Coturnix japonica: one gene and its partners. The protein of the gene in region 2 purifies or fractionates together with the protein of the main gene of each other region. This does not show direct contact. Links are inferred from orthologs where the notes say so. Each region holds a gene or a part of one and is shown on either strand. Other genes may lie near its edges.

Evidence for each region. Proteins that work in one complex are often made in the same cells at the same time.
Region 1: the proteins of LRRK2 (region 2) and BAG5 purify together in Homo sapiens (co-immunoprecipitation; 3 studies listed by BioGRID and IntAct, with this or other methods). This does not show direct contact. The link is inferred for Coturnix japonica from reciprocal best matches to the Homo sapiens genes LRRK2 and BAG5.
Region 3: the proteins of LRRK2 (region 2) and SLC25A22 purify together in Homo sapiens (co-immunoprecipitation; 3 studies listed by IntAct, with this or other methods). This does not show direct contact. The link is inferred for Coturnix japonica from reciprocal best matches to the Homo sapiens genes LRRK2 and SLC25A22.
Region 4: the proteins of LRRK2 (region 2) and SLC25A5 purify together in Homo sapiens (co-immunoprecipitation; 3 studies listed by IntAct, with this or other methods). This does not show direct contact. The link is inferred for Coturnix japonica from reciprocal best matches to the Homo sapiens genes LRRK2 and SLC25A5.

The regions. Positions count from the first base shown.
Region 1 is NC_029520.1:45,843,849-45,848,641, forward strand, and holds the start of BAG5 (BAG family molecular chaperone regulator 5), read right to left. Parts: upstream 3,001-4,793; 5' UTR 2,866-3,000; intron 2,646-2,865; 5' UTR 2,618-2,645; coding exon 1,265-2,617; 3' UTR 1-1,264. Other genes in the region: cytochrome c oxidase assembly factor 8, read left to right, coding at 3,019-3,357, 4,680-4,743. UniProt on the Homo sapiens protein: Co-chaperone for HSP/HSP70 proteins. It functions as a nucleotide-exchange factor promoting the release of ADP from HSP70, thereby activating HSP70-mediated protein refolding.
Region 2 is NC_029516.1:13,454,583-13,458,252, reverse strand, and holds the end of LRRK2 (leucine-rich repeat serine/threonine-protein kinase 2), read left to right. Parts: intron 1-126; coding exon 127-201; intron 202-1,366; coding exon 1,367-1,488; 3' UTR 1,489-2,855; downstream 2,856-3,670. UniProt on the Homo sapiens protein: Serine/threonine-protein kinase which phosphorylates a broad range of proteins involved in multiple processes such as neuronal plasticity, innate immunity, autophagy, and vesicle trafficking.
Region 3 is NC_029520.1:8,824,162-8,829,034, forward strand, and holds the start of SLC25A22 (mitochondrial glutamate carrier 1), read right to left. Parts: upstream 3,001-4,873; 5' UTR 2,866-3,000; intron 1-2,865. UniProt on the Homo sapiens protein: Mitochondrial glutamate/H(+) symporter. Responsible for the transport of glutamate from the cytosol into the mitochondrial matrix with the concomitant import of a proton. Plays a role in the control of glucose-stimulated insulin secretion.
Region 4 is NC_029519.1:15,436,611-15,441,224, reverse strand, and holds SLC25A5 (ADP/ATP translocase 2), read left to right. Parts: upstream 1-1,864; 5' UTR 1,865-1,962; coding exon 1,963-2,073; intron 2,074-2,210; coding exon 2,211-2,697; intron 2,698-2,803; coding exon 2,804-2,944; intron 2,945-3,514; coding exon 3,515-3,672; 3' UTR 3,673-3,914; downstream 3,915-4,614.

The DNA of each region.
Region 1 (4,793 bases), on a different chromosome or scaffold from region 2:
AAATATATTTCTCTGTATTAATTCATTTTAATGCCATGCTCAAAATAAACCCCAAACAAAACAAAACTCAAAACCATGCTATAGTAGAAATGTGATGGGTGCTAGCAGCAACAAACGAAAAGGTAGTGCATAAAGTAGTACAATCGAGCTGATTTACAAAGCTCATTTATAATTAAGCAGGGAGTTACAAAGAGAGACGTATGCCAAAAGCCTCTTCCAAGACATGCCTAAAGCCACACCTGACCAGTATGAAAGATCTACGTGTATCACACAAACGTACATCATTAGGGATGCCTTTATACTACCTAACACTACAAAAATAAATCCAAAATCCTCATCCGCTTCAAAGTGACTTCTGCTCTAATCAAACAGGGGAAGGCGAGTCAAAACCAGATAGAACAGCAGAATTTAAAAAGACCCCTAAGTAGCATTAAAAAAAGTTCATTGCAGTTTTCAGGTTCTAATGGATGGCAGTGTGAAATCCTCAAAACCCAATTCATCTGGCCAGTAAATATCTACAGATTGTCCTCTTTGAGTCCCAGCTTCTTAAAGCAAAGAATATTTGAGAGTTTCCACCAGCAGAAAAGCTGTTCTTGCAAATGACAGTTCACAGGTGCCATACAAAAGTGGCTTCGCCTATGTGAATTTGAAGCTGGCATTGTACTTCTGCCGAGCAGGAAATCTAAAGAGATCTAAGCAAGCAGAAGGTGTGATGGATGGAATAAAACAAGCACAACCCAAAAGCCAGCAAGTTGGTTTTTTTTTGTTTGCATTTAATACTTTTCATCAAAGCAGCACATTAAGAGTATATCCAGACTGCTACGATGCTGCTGGATGGAGCCTTGTGCTTAAACACTAATTTTCACGCCCAGCTTTCTTGAAACAGCTCTGCAGTACTGCACCACAAGGAATTTTCGGCATCTTTGAAACATTTGCGTTCTCTGAATGTTACACCAGGTTATTAAAACACAGACAGATTAAGAAAAAGAAGCCGTTCAATCAACACTTAAGCTGCTCCTTCAGAGAATCTCATTCCATTGCTTATAGCAGTGACCAGAATTGCTGATGGTGTACTGACAGTTGCCATGGCAAGTGGGTGACTGCGTGGGATAGCACACATATAGCCAAGGTAACTTTGTATGCAACCTCCGTGATTTAAGCAAGCATAGAACACTACTTTCACTATGTGCTGCCAGTGTAGCTATCATCCTACATGAAGTGCCGCAGGAAAAAAAATGGTATTTTATGTCAGGCCACGTTTCCTTCAGTACTCCCATTCATCTGTTTTCATGTCCAGGTAGTAAAGGATATTCTGTGCAAGCTTTACTGCTTGCTTTCTGGCAGCCTTACATCGCTCGTCACCTTGTGGGTCGACGGCATCAAGTGCAAGAAGTTGCTTTGTAAGGAGTTCTTCCAATCGCATGTAGTTCTTATCTGTTCTATTTCCATCAAAAGAAATCACCTCCTGCTGAATCTGAGACAAGTTTCCAAGCACAGTCCAAACTGCTTGATGAGACTGATGTTCTGCAGCAGTCTGCTCTGCGTACATTTGCCTTTTTCCAAGTGCTTCCTTTAAATCAATGTATGTTATGAGAGTCTGTACTTCTATCACTGCTCTTCTCCTGGCTTCTCTAATACAAGGGTTTTTTCCCGGACTCACTTCATCTAACTGGGCAATTAATCCCTGCAGTTCTGCTTTGGATCCCAAATACAAATCAGAAGCATTCTCTGTTTTTAAAAGCAAAGAATTAACTTCCTTCATTTTCTTGCGTATTTCTTCTATTTTTAGAATGGACTGATTTTGGGCCAGATCATAAGCATGAGTAGTATTTGCTTCTTCATCCAAGTCCAGGTATTTCTGCAATTTATTGATCTCTTCCACTACTTCCTTTCTGTAATTCCTTATTTCCATGCGACCGCAGACATCCAAAGCATCCAAATCAGCGACGAGGCCTGTGAGGACGCAGGCTAAATGCCTGCAGGTATCATTACTACTCACTCCCATCAGAAGCGCAATAAGGGTTCCTCTGGCTTTGTTCACCTCACACATTACAGAGTTAATTTTGGAGACAGAAGGATGCGCATCATTAGAGAGTGGCAGGGAGAGCTGTCTCTTGGCGCAGCTCTCTATGATCTCCTGCACGGCGCACACTTTAGTCAGGGTGCGATATCTCGCTTTGCGCAAGGAAACCTTCCCTCCGGTCTTCACCTGGGTGAGCCGCAGCACGATGTCCTGGATGCCTTCTTCAAACTCCTCGTTGATGCTGTTGCCTCCTTGGTAGAAAGGCGTGATCTCACGCTCCACCAGCGCCTGTGCCTCCTTGAAGATGGCCTCGATCTCCAGCCTGCGCGGGTGGTTGGCGTTCTGCTCCAGCTCCTTCAGCAGCCGCTCGGTCTCCTGGGCAGCGCGTTTCCTGGCCTGCTGGATGTCCCCTTTGCCCTCAGTGTCCACAGAGTCGATCTCAAACAGCTGTTTGGTGAGGGATCTCTCCAGCTTCTTGTAGTCCCGGTCCGTGGACAACCCGCTGAAGACTGCCACTTGCTGTTCGATCTCTCTCACTTCCTTCTGTATCTCGTGCAACCGTTTGATGGCAGGGTGTTGGTTCCCCATATCCATGCTCTGCTCTCATCCACCTTCAGTCGAACTGCGATGCAGAGCGAAGCGAACACATCGGTTACCCGTGTTTACAACTTTATATTACGGTCTCACCGACCCCTATCAGCGGGCACGCAGCCGCCCCTCCTTCAGCCGGGGTTGAACCCCCCAGCACGGCGCTCCCCTCCCCGCTCACAGCCGCTCCTTCCCACCGCTCCGGAGCCGAAAGCGACGCGTTCCCCGCACTCCCCCCCTCCTTCCCGGCTCACCCTGCAGCCGCCCCCGGGCTGAGGCACGGCGGCCCGGCTCGGCGCTGCGCCACGGCCGAGCGGTAGCGAAGGGCTCGGAGCCCTGAGCCCGGCCCCGCCCCGCAGCGCCGCCCTCGGCTGCGACATCGCCGTAAAGCGCGGCCGGCGGCGGGGATGGCGGCTGTAGGGGTTGTGCGGGCCGTGAGGGCGGGCGGCTGCCGCTATGGATGCCGCTATGGATGCTGCTATGGATGCTTCTCCTCTACTGTGTCCTCCGGCGGCGGGGAGCGGCCGATCGTCCCGCTTGTAACACAGAGGCCGCGGTTCTGTCCCCCCGCCGGCTCCCGCAGGGACTGGATCGGGCCCCCAGACAAGCGCTCTAACCTCCGCCCCGTCATCTTTTACGTGTCGCCTCACGAGACCCCGCTGGAACGGCGGCTGCGGGAGCTGCGGGAGGAGACACAGGAGTGGAACCAGCGCTTCTGGGCCCGGCAGAACACCGCCTTCAGGACGGTCAGTCCGGAACCGCTGGGGGGCGGCATCGGGCCGGGAGGAATGGGGGGGTTTGGCTGCTGGAAGCGGTGCTGCCGCAGGGAAAAAGCAAGGAAAGCTCTGCTGTAGAAGCACCTGATGGAGCTGTGTCTCTGTTCGTTGTAGGGTGGTTGGAGAAAATGGCATTTGGGGTCCATTCTAACTCAGATGGTTCTTTGATGTGCCCTGCTGCACTGGCAGTTGAACCTTTTATCAAGGCTGAAAGCCTGTGATGCTGTGTGTGATTCTGAAAGCAAGGACACGTGCTTTCTTTTGCGATTGCACCTTAAGGTCTGGAGCACTTCTATGAAGGAAAGCTGAAAGAATTGGGCTTGTTTAGGTAGGAGAAGGGTCTGGGGAGACCTCATTGCAGCCTCCCAGTACTTGAAGAGAGGTTATAAACAGGAGTAGGAGTGACTTCTTACACAACCTCGTAGCTTGTCCTATCACTATTGGGTGCCCCATCCCTGGAGGTGTTCAGGGCTGAGTTGGATGGGGCCCTGGGCAGCCTGGTCTGGTGAGGGGCAGTCAGCCCATAGCAGTGGGGTTGGAGCTCGCTGACCTTCCAACCGAAGCTCTTCTATGACCCTATAGGTTAGGAGGAGTGGGAGTGATTCAGTAATTCACTGTTATTTCTGAGCTTTGATCACCATATCCTCCCTGACTTCTGTAGAACTGAGTTTGAGAACTCGACGAAAAGGTAATTGTTCTGTACACATCCAAATAATGACAGATTTGAAGGCCACGTGTTTATCTGAATGCAGAAATGCTCAGTTATGTGGTATGTGTTGTCTTCATTGTTAGTTTGTTTGTTTGTTGTTTGTTTGGGCCTCACTGCTGTCTGAGCAGAGAATTTCTTTCTAACATCTAACCCAAATCTTCCCTCTTTCAGTTTAAAGCTGTTCCTCCTTGTCTTATCACTATCAAATTATGCAAAGAAAAGTCTGTCTCCTTCCCAATTACAAGCTCCTTTCAAGTACTGGAAGGCTGTGGTGAGGTCTTCCTGGAGCCTTCTCTTCTCAGCCTAAACAAACCCAACTCCTGTAGTCTTCCTTCATAGGAGAGGTGCTCCAGCCCTTTGGTTGTCCTCATGGCCATCTTCTGGATCTAAGCAACAGAGCTTTATCGGTTTAACACTAAGTCACTGTGCTTGGGTAAATGTTTTGTTGATGTTTCCAATATTAATGAGTGTTGTTTGTTATTTCAGAGGGTATTAGGCACTGAGCTGTTACATGATTTAAAAACAGTGGTTTACTTCAAGGACCGAATGCCTCAAATTCTAATGTGGAAAAACCATCTTTTAGGAAAAAGAAGAATTTATCTACTCAAGGCTGAAAGCCAAGGGTCTGGAAACGAGAGATGAAACAGGTTAGTGAGATCTTTGTACAATTCAAGATACGTTATGAATTCTGTTTAAC
Region 2 (3,670 bases):
ATAAAGGGCCCAAAGCAAAACTGTGGTTTCTGTCATCTTAGCAGCGTTTGTAAGATCCTCTTTCTGTCCTTCAATTACAAACCTCCCATCAAAATTAAAATCTGACCTTTTCTTTCTTTGCAAAAGGGAGCCTGAAGAACGTGGTGGTGGTTCTGGGATACTGCTACAAGAGCGACACCGAAGATGACAAATATCACAAAGGTACCTGAACTGTGCTTTATTAATTTGTATTATTAGTGAAGCAGAAACTATGACGCTCGGCCACCCTCTGAGGTGTGTTTGGAGAGCTGGCGATCAACATTTGATCTACTCTTTTGAAAATTATTATTCGTTTTTGTCATTGGTTATGTTTCTGGGCTCCATACAAACAATTCAGTTGCCTGAATTGATCGGATGAAGCTACTCTTTGGAGGGCACATAATTTTCTAGAAAACTCTATTTGGAGAATAACTGCCCATGTCTAATTGTGGAGCGTGTCAAACGGGTTTCGAGAGGGGCCTCCAGGAATACTCAGTGTTATGGTGAATGATGTGGATGAAGGAATAACGCGTCTGCTTTTCATGTTGGCAGACAGCACTTAGCTCAGAGGAGCCACGAGCACAGTGGAGGACAGGACCGGAATTCACTGCAACCTTGACAGATAGAACAAATGGTCTGGAAGGAATAGGATACAGTTCAGTAAGGACAGATGTGAGACCTCAAACGTAATTAGGAGGGATCAGCTGTACCAACAGGAGGAAATGGTCGGCTTAAGCAGTGGTGCTGAAAATAAGGTTTATTTTGATCACACGTGGAACATGAGTCAACAGCGTCATGTTCCTGCAGAAGGGACAAAAACCTTTCTTATGCCAATAGAAAAGTGGCTTCTCTAAGACATGGGAATTAATTCCTGTGCTCTGCTGAGCTCTGATAAGACCTCTGCTGCAGGAGTGCATCCATCTGGGACAATGCTGAATGATCTGAACTATTAGGAATAGTCCAGAGGAGAGAAATGCGGCCTCTGGGAAAATGCTGAAGATAAATTACTTAATATTAGGAAAGCATCCAACAGATATGATAACAGGCTTCAAATATGTAAATAAAGAGGAAGGGAATAATACTTCAACATGTTATTCCCTGTGGGCAGGATAAAGGCTAAGCAGTTTCTATTACAGCGAGGGAAATTTAGGTCACACATCAGGAAGAGCTTCCTGACAATTAGGATAGCGAGTACTGGAATAGGAAGATAAAATCTCCATCTTTGATTTGTTTTGCTTTTTTCCTAAGAACAGTTACAACTGATGCTCACACTGATGCCCTTCTTCAGCAAGACCACTTCTGTTCACACAGTAATTTGCTCTGTTGCACTGTCTTTTTTTTCCCCCAGAATTACAGTCCTGTGTGTCAGTGTGGGACATTAACCTCCCCCACGAAGTGCAAAACCTGAAGAAACATATAGAAGTGAGACAGGAACTAGCTGAAAAAATGAAAAGCTTCACTTTGGACTGAAAAACCCTTTCAAGTGCCATTCTCTTTTCTAGACTTGTATCCTAACTCACCGTGCAATATTCACAGCCTCTTGTTGCTGGGCTCCTTAACCCAAACCAGGAAAGAAATCTTCCCAAGTCATTGTGTACTGAGAAGAAAGAAGGGTGTTATTCATAATGTTTGAAAGGACAGAAAATCATTAAGAGTTTCATAATCTGAAGCATTATCACGTGTCTGTTTACTCATGAAGTTCTGCACGGAGGAGCTGCGGCTCGACTTCAGGATAACTTTGTTCATCCAGTTTTTAGTCCCTCTTAAATTGGAAATCAGCCAGGAGACTGAAAACGGCTCTGATTTACTTCAGTATCTCTACTGAGTTGACACCGGAGTAAGAAGCAAAGCTGAAGGCTCTGTTTCCTTATTGCAGTCTGTAAGCATGAGTTTTCTCTGATGATTCATGTTTTATTCATGTCCGAGCTCTTGACCTCAGCCAAACAAAGGAAAACATTATATTTTATACAAATAATTGAACTTAAGGAGCATTCAGACTTCTCACGAGGAGCAGCGCAATGGGCAGATTACAGCCTTTGCTTCTTCTATGAGAAGTTGACATCTTCCATTGCAAACAGAAAACCAAACTGTGCTAAAATAATACAATTCCTCTGAATTCCAAATTGAATTACGCTGACCAGCCCTGCACCTTGGTGCCTTCTTGCAATTGTGCAGCCTGCCTCGTTCTGAGCAATGGAGTCATGGAGTCAAGAACATTCCCATCCACGTACATCTATTGCACAGCTCACTTCTAAAAGCCATGGGAAGGAACAGAGAGGAAACTCCTGCTGGAAAGGCTGCTACCGCTCGTACCACAAAGAAGGAAGCGTGCTGCAGAATCTTGGTGCAGCTTGCCTTGTGTGCCTCCATTCCATCCATCAGAAGACAGAGCTCATTTTCTTGTTGCGATACCAAAAGAATCCATAGAGTTCTCCTGAAATCCCTGCACGGAGAACACAGAACCACTCCAGAGTTTATTGTCCGGAGCAGCAGGGTCAGCAGCACCCTGTGGGCTCCCAGTTTTGAAGAACTTCTGTACGTGGACAGCAGCAGCTGCCGAGCCCAGCTGTGTCACTGTCCCATTTGCTGCCTCTCGTGGTGTGTGGACTCAGGATTCCTTTCAGATCTGTACCCCCATTTTTTATGCGTCCTTGTATTCTGCACCCAGAAGATAATTTGCTATTTATATGGATTTTGTAACTCAGAAAATATATATTATTATAATGAATACATTTAAAAAAGAGATGCTATGTAATGCAGTTACGTTTATTTATGAGTCATTTTGAGATGTAAGCTTTCTACCTTTTTATTAAAGCTGTGCTTTGTTAATGACAGTCCATTTGCTCATTGCTCTGTTTCCAGGGAGGAGCTTTTGTTGCACTTGATCCCTTATTTCTACTCTTGTATTTGTGGCCCTGGGGAGGAGAAGCATTGTCCTGAGAGGGCCTGGTAGCCTGGTGCACTGGAGGAGGTGACCGCAGGCAGTGCTGGCCACCTCACTATTGATCCGTCGGAAGATCACTGAGAAAGAACCCAGCACAGACTGAACCTGGCCTAAGGGGTGAGTGTTACAGGGCTCACAGAGCCAACAGCAGCCAACCAAGACAGGAGGTCGCCACAAACACAGCTCAGCTGGGGGACCGGCCTCCCCTCCCAGCTGCAATGCGCTCAGCACAGCACAAGCCCTGTCGGATATGATGCTGCCTGCTTACTCAGGATAACATCCAGCATCTGAAAACTGAAGATAATCTTCTACTTCAAGAAAAGCCTCTCTGCCCATTGGAAACAAGCTGCACGGCTGGGCTGGAAGTTAACACCTGAGCTGGAAGTTAACACCTGAGCTCAACATTTAATTTAGCCCGTGTTGCTCAGAGCCACGCAGCTGAAGGACGTTCAGCTCTACACCTATGGCAGCAAACTGCGCAGAGGGAGCCAAATACTTAAAGGGTTGTTGACTTCACATCCTTATTGGTTGCTTGCTCTGGCAAATTACATGGAGCAGGTTCTGCCACACGTTCATTTTACCTTATTTACAAGCAGCCCAGGTTCATCATACTGTAAACAGGTAGGACAGGCTGATATGACACCCTGTCCAGTTTATATCCCATCACTCCTTCTAATCTGAACTGTTATGCTTGCAGGGCAGCGGGAA
Region 3 (4,873 bases), on a different chromosome or scaffold from region 2:
CCCCATTCTTAGGAAGAATGGCAACAAAGGCAACAGGAAAACAAAGCACCCAGAAGAAACCATTTATTAAGTCACATTGTATCTTCTGCAACTGTGGCAGGATCGTGTAAGTGCTGTTTTCTGGTAGACTGCAGGGTCAGAGACAAACTTTGTTCTACTTATCCGCAGTCACGCTCTAAGCCTGAGTCTGTGGCAAGGGAGAAAGCAGAACCCAAATTCACGGTTAGCGCTGAAATATCTCTAAACACACTTCCCTCTTTTTACTGCATAAATCTCTACCTGCCATAATTCAAGGAGCGCTGAATATGGCACCAAACCAGCTCTCAGTTTGCATGTGGCTTAGGACAAGTTGTTTCCACTCCACCCTGCCTATCAGGCAGCATGGAGCTGCTCCATCTGCTCTGCCAAAGTGTGCAAGCAGCACATCCACAGGTATGAGTAAAGAACCAGGCAGTGCAGAGACAAGGACCTATATTCTTCTCCTCCTGTCCCTTCTCATGTGATTCCTCCAAGACAGAGCAGGAAACAAGGCAAAGCTGTGGATGAACTTGGGCACTGCAAATAAGCCTACCTGGCAAAAGAAGGAAAACAAAGACAGCAGCACAATGGCTTCACCAAAACGGCCTTGCCAAAGGGGTCGTGGCCGAGAGCATGGGCTGCAGACTGCTCTCATGTGTGCTGTAAGAGCAGGAAGGCTACGCATCTCAGTGACGAAATAGAGCACTGAGGAATTTGAGCCCTGTATACATGATATGCACGTGGGAGATCTGCCCGTACTACTTGCAGCACTTAGAACCCAGCCCTGAAGCAGTCGAGCACTTAATTTGAAGACGGCCATTAATCATATCTCTGCTTCCAGGGCTGAGTAGCTGCAGCATGGCCAAGAGGAGCTGCTGGTAACCTGGGTGCACTGCCTCACTTCAGCACAGGCTTCTCAGAGCCCTCAGTGTCGGGATGACTCTCCCAGTACACCACACACTGCATCGGTGAAAGGAGGGACCCAAAGAGGAGAGAAAGCAGCACTCCACCATACCTTGACACTCCTTACTGAGACACAGGAGCAGTTCATCAGTCACTCCAGCACATCAGGATACAATAAACTGCTTTCCCAGCACTATACAGTCATCATGCACTCTGATCAGGATTTACCCCTCATGGAAAAGCTTTTCTTAAGGGATCTGTAAAATTGGTCCTCTAACCAAGGATGCCAGGTCAGGTAGGTATTTCCCCCATCTCATACACTAACCTGAGTGCGGCTGGAGAAGGAGAACAAATGACCCTAGCAAGCTGCCAGTGACTCCTACCTCTGTGTAACTCAATATTGCACGCTATCCCTTCTTAAAGTGGCAGTGGGACAATCTTCTAGGGCTCTGGCTTCTTACTAAGGCATTAGCAAGGCTGCCAGGTGTCAAACAAGGCCATGAATGTTCCCTCACAGCAGGGTCGTGCTCCAAGTTATGATCCAACCATGCTCTGTGTCCCAGCACAGCCATCCATCCCTGCCCGGAGTGCTGACCTCAGAACACAGCACATCTCCTTGTGACCAACATGCTGTAAATAAACAAGCCCAGGGACTCAGCACCAAAGAATCACAAAATCAATTAGGTTGGAAAAGACCGCTAGGATCATCTAGTCCAACCACCAACCCATCATCACCCCCAACAGTCTCCATGTTTCCTGAACACCTCCAGGGATGGTGACTTCATGGTCAGCCTGTGTCAGTGCATCGCTGCTCTTTCAGAGATGTTTCCTAATAGCCAACCTGAACCTCACCTGGTGCAACCTGGGGCCATTCCCTCTCATTCTATCACTGTTACCTGAGAGAAAAGGCCAAGACCCACCTCTCTGCAACCTTCTTTCAGGTCACTGTAGAAAGGAAAAGCAAAACAACCTACGACCGAGAGAACAACTGCAAGCCAACCCCACACGATGCGCTGTTATCAGCCCAGCACCATTCTGGTTTGATTGCCTTTTGCTTGCCACTGCCAAGAAGAGCACTTAGGAGGCGTAAACCAACAGCATGCAGTGGATCAGAATCACTGCAGCTTCCATCCCTGGCAGTCACAGTGTGACAGGTCAGATCCTCGTGGCAAAGCCAGCCTAGAGGTGTCAGCAAGCAGCTCAGCCTTTGCCAGAGAGTTCAAAGAAACTGAGATTTTAGGCCAAACGTAGAGCTGGCATCCTGCTCTGATGCTTGTCAGACTGACAGCGTGGCAGGGCGCAGGAAACACATGTCGAACCCCCTGCAGCAGAGAGGCCTGGGGCACTGGAAAATCCAATTCCCACGAGCCGAGCAGATCCGCAGGGTGCAGAGGATGAGAGGATGCTGGGGGTCTCCCATTCCAGGGGTGACCTTGAGGAAACCCCAGAAACTATCCACACTTCCACGCTCCCATCCGCGGTAATAACCTTGACCTACCTCCAAGAGCCGGCTTAGGAAGGAGCTCAGCGTGGAACGGAGGCCGACCCGCCCGTCCCAGCTACGGCGCAGCGAGCAGCACGGAACGGCCCCATAGAGCAGCACGGAACGGCCCCATAGAGCAGCACGGAACGGCTCCATAGAGCAGCACGGAACGGCTTCCATAGAGCAGCACGGAACGGCTCCATAGAGCAGCACGGAACGGCTCCATAGAGCAGCACGGAACGGCCCCATAGAGCAGCACGAAACGGCCCCATAGAGCAGCACGGAACGGCCCCATAGAGCAGCACGGAACGGCTCCATAGAGCAGCGGCCGCCCCGCAGCACACGTGTCCCCGCGATGGGGAGGCGCGGGGCGATCCGTAGCCATGGGCCCGCTGCAGGAGATCGGCGGACACCCTGCGGGCTGGGCGGTGGTGATCATCGAACTGGGGGCTCGCACTTACCGGGCTGGCAGCGGCGGGCTCCCGCCGGGGCCCGAAGCCGGTGTGAAGCGGGGTACGGAGCTCCCCTCCCTCCGGCTCGGCTCGGTGCTGCTCGGAGCGGCTCGGCTCAGCTCTGCCCTCTGTGGCCGCGCTCAGCGCAGGAAGAGCGGGGCGGACTCCCCGCCCGTCACCGTTGGGCCCTCCCCGCCCGCAGCCGCCACCGCGTCGCCACGACAACGAGGAGCAGGGCCGGGGCCTGCACTGCGAGGCCCAGGGGAGAGGAGCTCCGGGGGCTCAGATCTGCGGCCAAACACGGCTGCCATCCCCTCCTCCTTCTTCATTAAATTCCATGCAGGGTTTAACAAAAAAACGGCAGTAACGACCAACCTGAGCACAGAAAGCTGTGCATGGAGGTGCTGTGCGAGCCCGTGACATCAGGTCCTTGCTTCCAGGGCACAGGCTGAACTCATGCTCTGTAACACGAGAGAGATGTGCAAAGTCTCCTGGTGGTCCTCACCCTGATAATGGGTCTTCACCAAGCCAGCCCTCCCATCAGCCAGCTCCCAGCTCCCTGGTGAGCTCTTGGGATGATGGTCATTGACATCACACTGCTGAGGAAAGGATAATAGAGCACAAGGCTAACAAGCACACCGTGTATACAGAAATGGCAATGAAATGGAGTTGTGATCAAATGCCCAGACATGTCTGAGGTGTGCACGTGCCTGAAAATGAGAGAAGCTTGTTATCACAATCAGACCTGTTACCTAAAGTGAGAAGAAGATGCCAACCAGAGGTCAGTAAAATATGAGATGCTAGTGCTAATGAGATGGACTGCTTTCAACCTGGAAATTCAGAACATGGAGACAAAGCTGTCTCCAGAATGCTGGTTCCTGATTGTTCAGCAGCTATTCTGGAAGGAGACTCCGTGCACTGTGGGGTTTATTTGTCTGAGCATCGTCCCAGGACCAACATCCCCATGTGTGGACATGCTGGGGCAAGGGGACACAGCCACTCACCCACTCACAGTGCAACTAGAGGGGACTCATCTGATGGAAGGACATGGACTGTTTCCTTCAGGAAGCAAGGCCAGCCACTGCAGAAAAAGATTTTCTGCCTTCCTGGAAAACTCAGGTACAACCCTCCTTGTTCTTCTTTCCCCTCTTGCCTCTCCCCAGGTCTCCTCAAACCTTTCAGCTCTGGAAGCACAATGTGTCCCCCACAAGAGGTTGCAGAGCCAGGCAGAGAAGATCCAGGCATCTGCCACTGTAGGCACTTCTTTGGGTCCCCACTCCACCAGCATGATTTGCAAAGGCATCAGTGGGTTTCACTTGGCTGTACACAGTGGGACTAAAGCTGAGCTGAACTCATTGTGGGTAGAGGGGAACAATTGTGCTGTTTATCATAACTTGCCATCCCCTAGATGGGTTGGCTGGACAGTGCTGTCCCCTGGCAAGGAACAGGTTAACACTGCCCTGCTTTAATCTGAGTTTCCATAGGACTGCAGAATCACCCACTTTTATTTTTGGTTCTGCTGCATAACAACAACTGCTCTTTGTAACCTGCACAGAGCAAAGGACCTGTTTCCTCTGGCAGCTTTTAAGAGAGGGGATTAAAAAAAAGCAGAGGAACAGAATTCATATTCAGCAAGTGCCAGGTTGTCAAGGTTTCCTGTGCTCTCAGACATGCTTTTTTTTCTCCTGCCACACACAAAATAAATTTAATACTGTCGTGACCAAAGAGGAGCTTCAAAAGCAGCACTGACCTGTGAGGTTTGATCTGACATGGTGTCCAGGCAGGACCCCTGCCATGGCTCACACCTCTACCTTTCTGTGCGTGGCAGGGAGCAGAGCTCAGACCCTGCTACACAGAGATACTGCCTGCACAATGTGATTCCAACGCCCAGAGAGGCTCAGCGAGTGTTTTGTGTTTCTCTGCTCCGTGCCTTTCCCCATGCACAACTGCAATCTCAAAATCCCACATCTCTTGACAGTGGGGAAAGCATCAGCCTGGCTGACAAAGAGAATATGGG
Region 4 (4,614 bases), on a different chromosome or scaffold from region 2:
GCTAGCTGCTTCTCGGTGCTGGATAACCACTTTAAGATAAACCACTCGCAGAGGGAATGAAAACTGAGACAGGTACAAATGGTATCTTCAGAACATGAAGAAAGCTCAGATTGGATTTCTTTTTAAAGTAACTTGTGCTAAGAAGTCATCAGAAAATGGTAAGCAGACTGGATAGACAACGTGCAAGCGTTCCAACTGGAATCTCCTCTTCAGTGATGGTGTGTGGATGTGGCATTCTGCAGGTGCAGCGTTAGCCTCTGTTCATTCACACTCCAGAATCCACTCTTCTGTTTTTGAGACTTATTCATTTTGTTCACATCTTTGGCACAGCAATGAAAATGTGCTGCTGCTGTTGTGTTTTAGACCGTAATACACTGGAATGACAATCTTGTAAACTTCGGTGCTTGCTGGGAATCTTTGTCCCTTTCTCCTGTGTACCTGAGTTATTTCAGAGCCACGAGCCTTACGATGTTTTCCACTATTCTTAAAGTTCTATTTTTATGCTAAACTGCTTCTCAGACCCTTGTGCTGCTCAGACCTTGCCTGCAGAAGAGCACCGTGTACACATCCTCTCACTTTCCCTCTTGAACTTCTGCACTCTGGGACCCACAGCCCTTCCTTAGGTTGGGAACTTAGCACAACCTCCAGGTTCTCACTGGTGCCACTGCAGTTAAATAGGCCTCTCACCAGGCCAGGGCCCTTTCAGGAAACATAATACCATTACCTGAGATAATTGTAAGACCTGCTTTGCACTCTTAACACTGATGTACCCTACAGCTGAGCTCTTGTATCTCCAGTAATGGGCTTGCTGTGCACTGCTACAGTGGCTGGTTTTCTTCTGACAGAGAAGCACAGATATTGATAGCAGAACTCAGGGTGACAGGGAGCAGTTCTTGTGGCTTCTGAGTCACGTGGAGGCTGTGTGAGTATTTCTGGCTCTCATCAACCTGCCTAGTGAACATGTTTCTCTTTGCCTCGGTTTCCCTATCTTTGTAAAGCGTCATTAACAATATTGACATTTATTTGATGTGTGTAAATAAGGAAATACGACTTGTGAGCGAGTTGGGAAGAACTGGTTTCTGAGCCGTGCTTTTACATGGACTTTTTGTGTTTGTTTTTACTGACGTTGTATTTCTAAATAGATGTTAAAGATGGGATGATGGGTGCATATAAATGTTAACTCGCCTCTTGAAACTTCATGAGACTCAAGCGAGTCAAAAAGGTACCTCTCACTTGTTTGTGGGATGCCACTGTCCCCTCTGTATTACAGTTTACTCCTGAGGCCTATAAACCATTCATTAACTTTGTATCAGCCAAGCCTCTCAGCTGTGTGATTGCATCTGCTTAGAAGGGAGAGCTGGGAGCTGCAGGCTGCTGAGTCTGAGATCACGGAGCAGGTCCTGGAAGAGATATTAAGGCACGTGGGAGACGCGGCTGTTAATGGAGCCACGCACAGGGCTCCATGCGGGCTGTGTGTGCAGTCATGCCCCGCACAGGGCTCTATCCCGGCTGTGTGTGCAGTCATGCCCCGCACAGGGCTCTATCCCGGCTGTGTGTGCACTCATGCCCCGCACAGGGCTCTATCCCGGCTGTGTGTGCACTCATACCCCGCACAGGGCTCTATGCGGGCTGTGTGTGCAGTCATGTCCCGCACAGGGCTCTATCCCGGCTGTGTGTGCAGTCATGCCCCGCACTCAGCTCCATCCCTCCGGTGTCTCCCGCCGGTTCCCGTCGCTCCGCGCCACCCGGTGGTCCTAAGCCCCGCCCCCTGCGGCGGCCCCGCCCCCTCCCGCAGCCAATGGGCGTGTGGAACGCGGCGGCGCGTTGCCGTGGCGCGCCCCCGCCCACGTGTGTTCCGCCGCCCGTATATAACGCGGCCATTTCGGCCCCGCTCCCGCCTCGCTGCCGCAGCGCCGCCTCCCCCGTCGCGTTCCGCCCGGCCTCTCCTCGCCGCCTCCCGCCATGGCCGACGCGGTCGTGTCCTTCCTCAAGGATTTCCTCGCCGGGGGGGTGGCGGCCGCCATCTCCAAGACCGCCGTCGCCCCCATCGAGCGGGTGAAGCTGCTGCTGCAGGTGAGCGGCGGGACGGGGGCGGCGGGCGTTCCAAGGTCGTCAAGGAGAGGGGGGCTGCGGGGCGGCGGGCGGGCGCTCTGACGGCGCTGCTGGTGCTGCTGGTGCTGATAGTGCTGCTGGTGCTGTGTCCCCCGCAGGTGCAGCACGCCAGCAAGCAGATCTCCGCCGACAAGCAGTACAAGGGCATCATCGACTGCGTGGTGCGCATCCCGCGCGAGCAGGGCGTCCTGTCCTTCTGGCGGGGTAACCTGGCCAACGTGATCCGGTACTTCCCCACCCAAGCGCTCAACTTCGCCTTCAAGGACAAGTACAAGCAGATCTTCCTGGGCGGCGTGGACAAGCGCACCCAGTTCTGGCGATACTTCGCGGGGAACCTGGCGTCCGGCGGCGCTGCCGGCGCTACCTCGCTCTGCTTCGTGTACCCCCTTGACTTCGCCCGGACCCGCCTGGCCGCCGACGTGGGTAAAGCCGGGGCCGACCGCGAGTTCAGCGGCCTCGGTGACTGCCTGGTGAAGATCTTCCGCTCGGATGGCCTCAAGGGCCTGTACCAGGGCTTCAACGTGTCCGTCCAGGGCATCATCATCTACAGAGCCGCCTACTTCGGCATCTACGATACCGCGAAGGGTAGGTGGGGTGGCACGGCGCTCCCGTGGAGCTGTGGGCCCTTAGCCCTGCACTGTGCGTGATGCCGGTTCGCCTGCTGATGTCACACAGAGCCTCTCTCCCGCAGGAATGCTCCCCGACCCAAAGAACACCCACATCGTGGTCAGCTGGATGATCGCTCAGTCGGTCACCGCGGTGGCCGGTTTGGTCTCCTATCCCTTCGATACAGTTCGGCGCCGCATGATGATGCAGTCCGGCCGTAAAGGAAGTAAGTCGCTCCCTCCCTCCTTGTGTTAGGGGCTGGTGGGCATCCCTGAATCAACAGCTGGCAGTGGGTCTGTGCTGGGGGCAGGAGTGTGTGCTGCCCTTCACCAAGGCCTTTAAATTCCTTCTCCTCTTGTAAACTGCAGGATATGAGGGGACTGCAGAAGCAGCTGTCAGGTGGGGGCAAATAGATTGGCTTTGTGGCATCCCTGTAAGGGGAACATGCAGGTTGGGTTTGTTCAGTAAGAAGGAATGGCAGAGCTTGCCTGAGGATGTTGAAACTCATGTCTCTGGGCTAAGAAGGGTTGTCCTTCAGTGCAGGCACGGCCTGGCTGACTGCAGTAGCTTTTGGGACTGGAAGTTTTGGTGTCTAGGAAACAGTAGCTGCCTTCTGCTCAGACTGGTCCTTCCAGTGTCTCCTGGGGGTAACACAAGCCTGGGCGATCTCATCGTCTAAAAGTAAGTCAAGAAATGGATACATGAGGTTGTACAACTGCCAGATACGTTAGGTGGGTTCTGACTTGGACTTTGGGGGTCATAGGCAGCAGGTTTCTAACACTGTCTGTTCCCACAGCTGACATAATGTACAGTGGCACTCTTGACTGCTGGCGGAAGATTGCCCGGGACGAGGGCTCCAAGGCGTTTTTCAAAGGTGCATGGTCGAATGTGCTCCGAGGAATGGGTGGTGCTTTCGTCTTAGTGCTGTATGATGAAATTAAGAAGTACACATAAGTTATTTCTTGTTCTGAAGTGGCATGTTGTAATATGTTATCTATGACCATTCATGGACTTGTATGAAAACTGTCTAGTTACTAACAGTAACGGATGATATTTATACAGGTTGGCATGGGGCAGGGACAACCTCCTGCCTCGTCTTTATCAAATCATTCCCACTGCTGGGACTCAAACATGGTTTCTATTTCAGTCACTCCTGTTTAAAGAGTACAAAGAAATAAAAATCCGATGCCAGCTTTCTTTGTCTCATGGTTGTTCTCATAGCAGCTGCAGTGTGAGGGGCCAGGGACCTCTGTGATTGTAGAGGGGGAAGGCAGAGCCCTGCATGACCCACTGACTGTGGGCTCCAGCACGTGAATGCAGTGCAGCCTGCTGAGAGAGTGTTTCCAGCCTGGTGGAGGTCAGCAGTGAGTGCTGGTGGTAACTAAGGGACATGTGCTGGCCTTGTGCCACCAGTCCTGCCTTGGGGCTGTGTGTTCCATGGGGCTGATGAAGGCTCTTTTCAGAACCTTTTCCTGCAAAGCACCCACTGGACTAAACATCTGGGGACTGGAGGGAAGTCGTAAGGAGTATCCACAGCAGCCTGGAAGAGCGGAGCTGGCGTCACATGTTCTGGCTTAGAAACTGAACTCCCTACTTGGGCATGTTAAAACTCAGCCAGAGAAAATAAGTGTGGGTAATTGCTGCTCTTTCTGCAAAGCCCCTGGCTAGGCTTGCCATTGCATGGAGGTGTTGGGCTGCTGGGTTGAGGTCAGAAGATGCCTGTCTACCTGCTGGGCCTGCCCTGCCTGCCCTGTGAGAACTAAGCTGCTCCCAGTCTCACATTTGGGGGAAATTCTTTCCCGCTGATGGGGTAATTTGGGGAAAACACACAGAGACTCAGGGATGTGTGTGGCTCGGCCTTTGCCCAGACTCCTTGGGGGACTGCAGCCCCCCAGA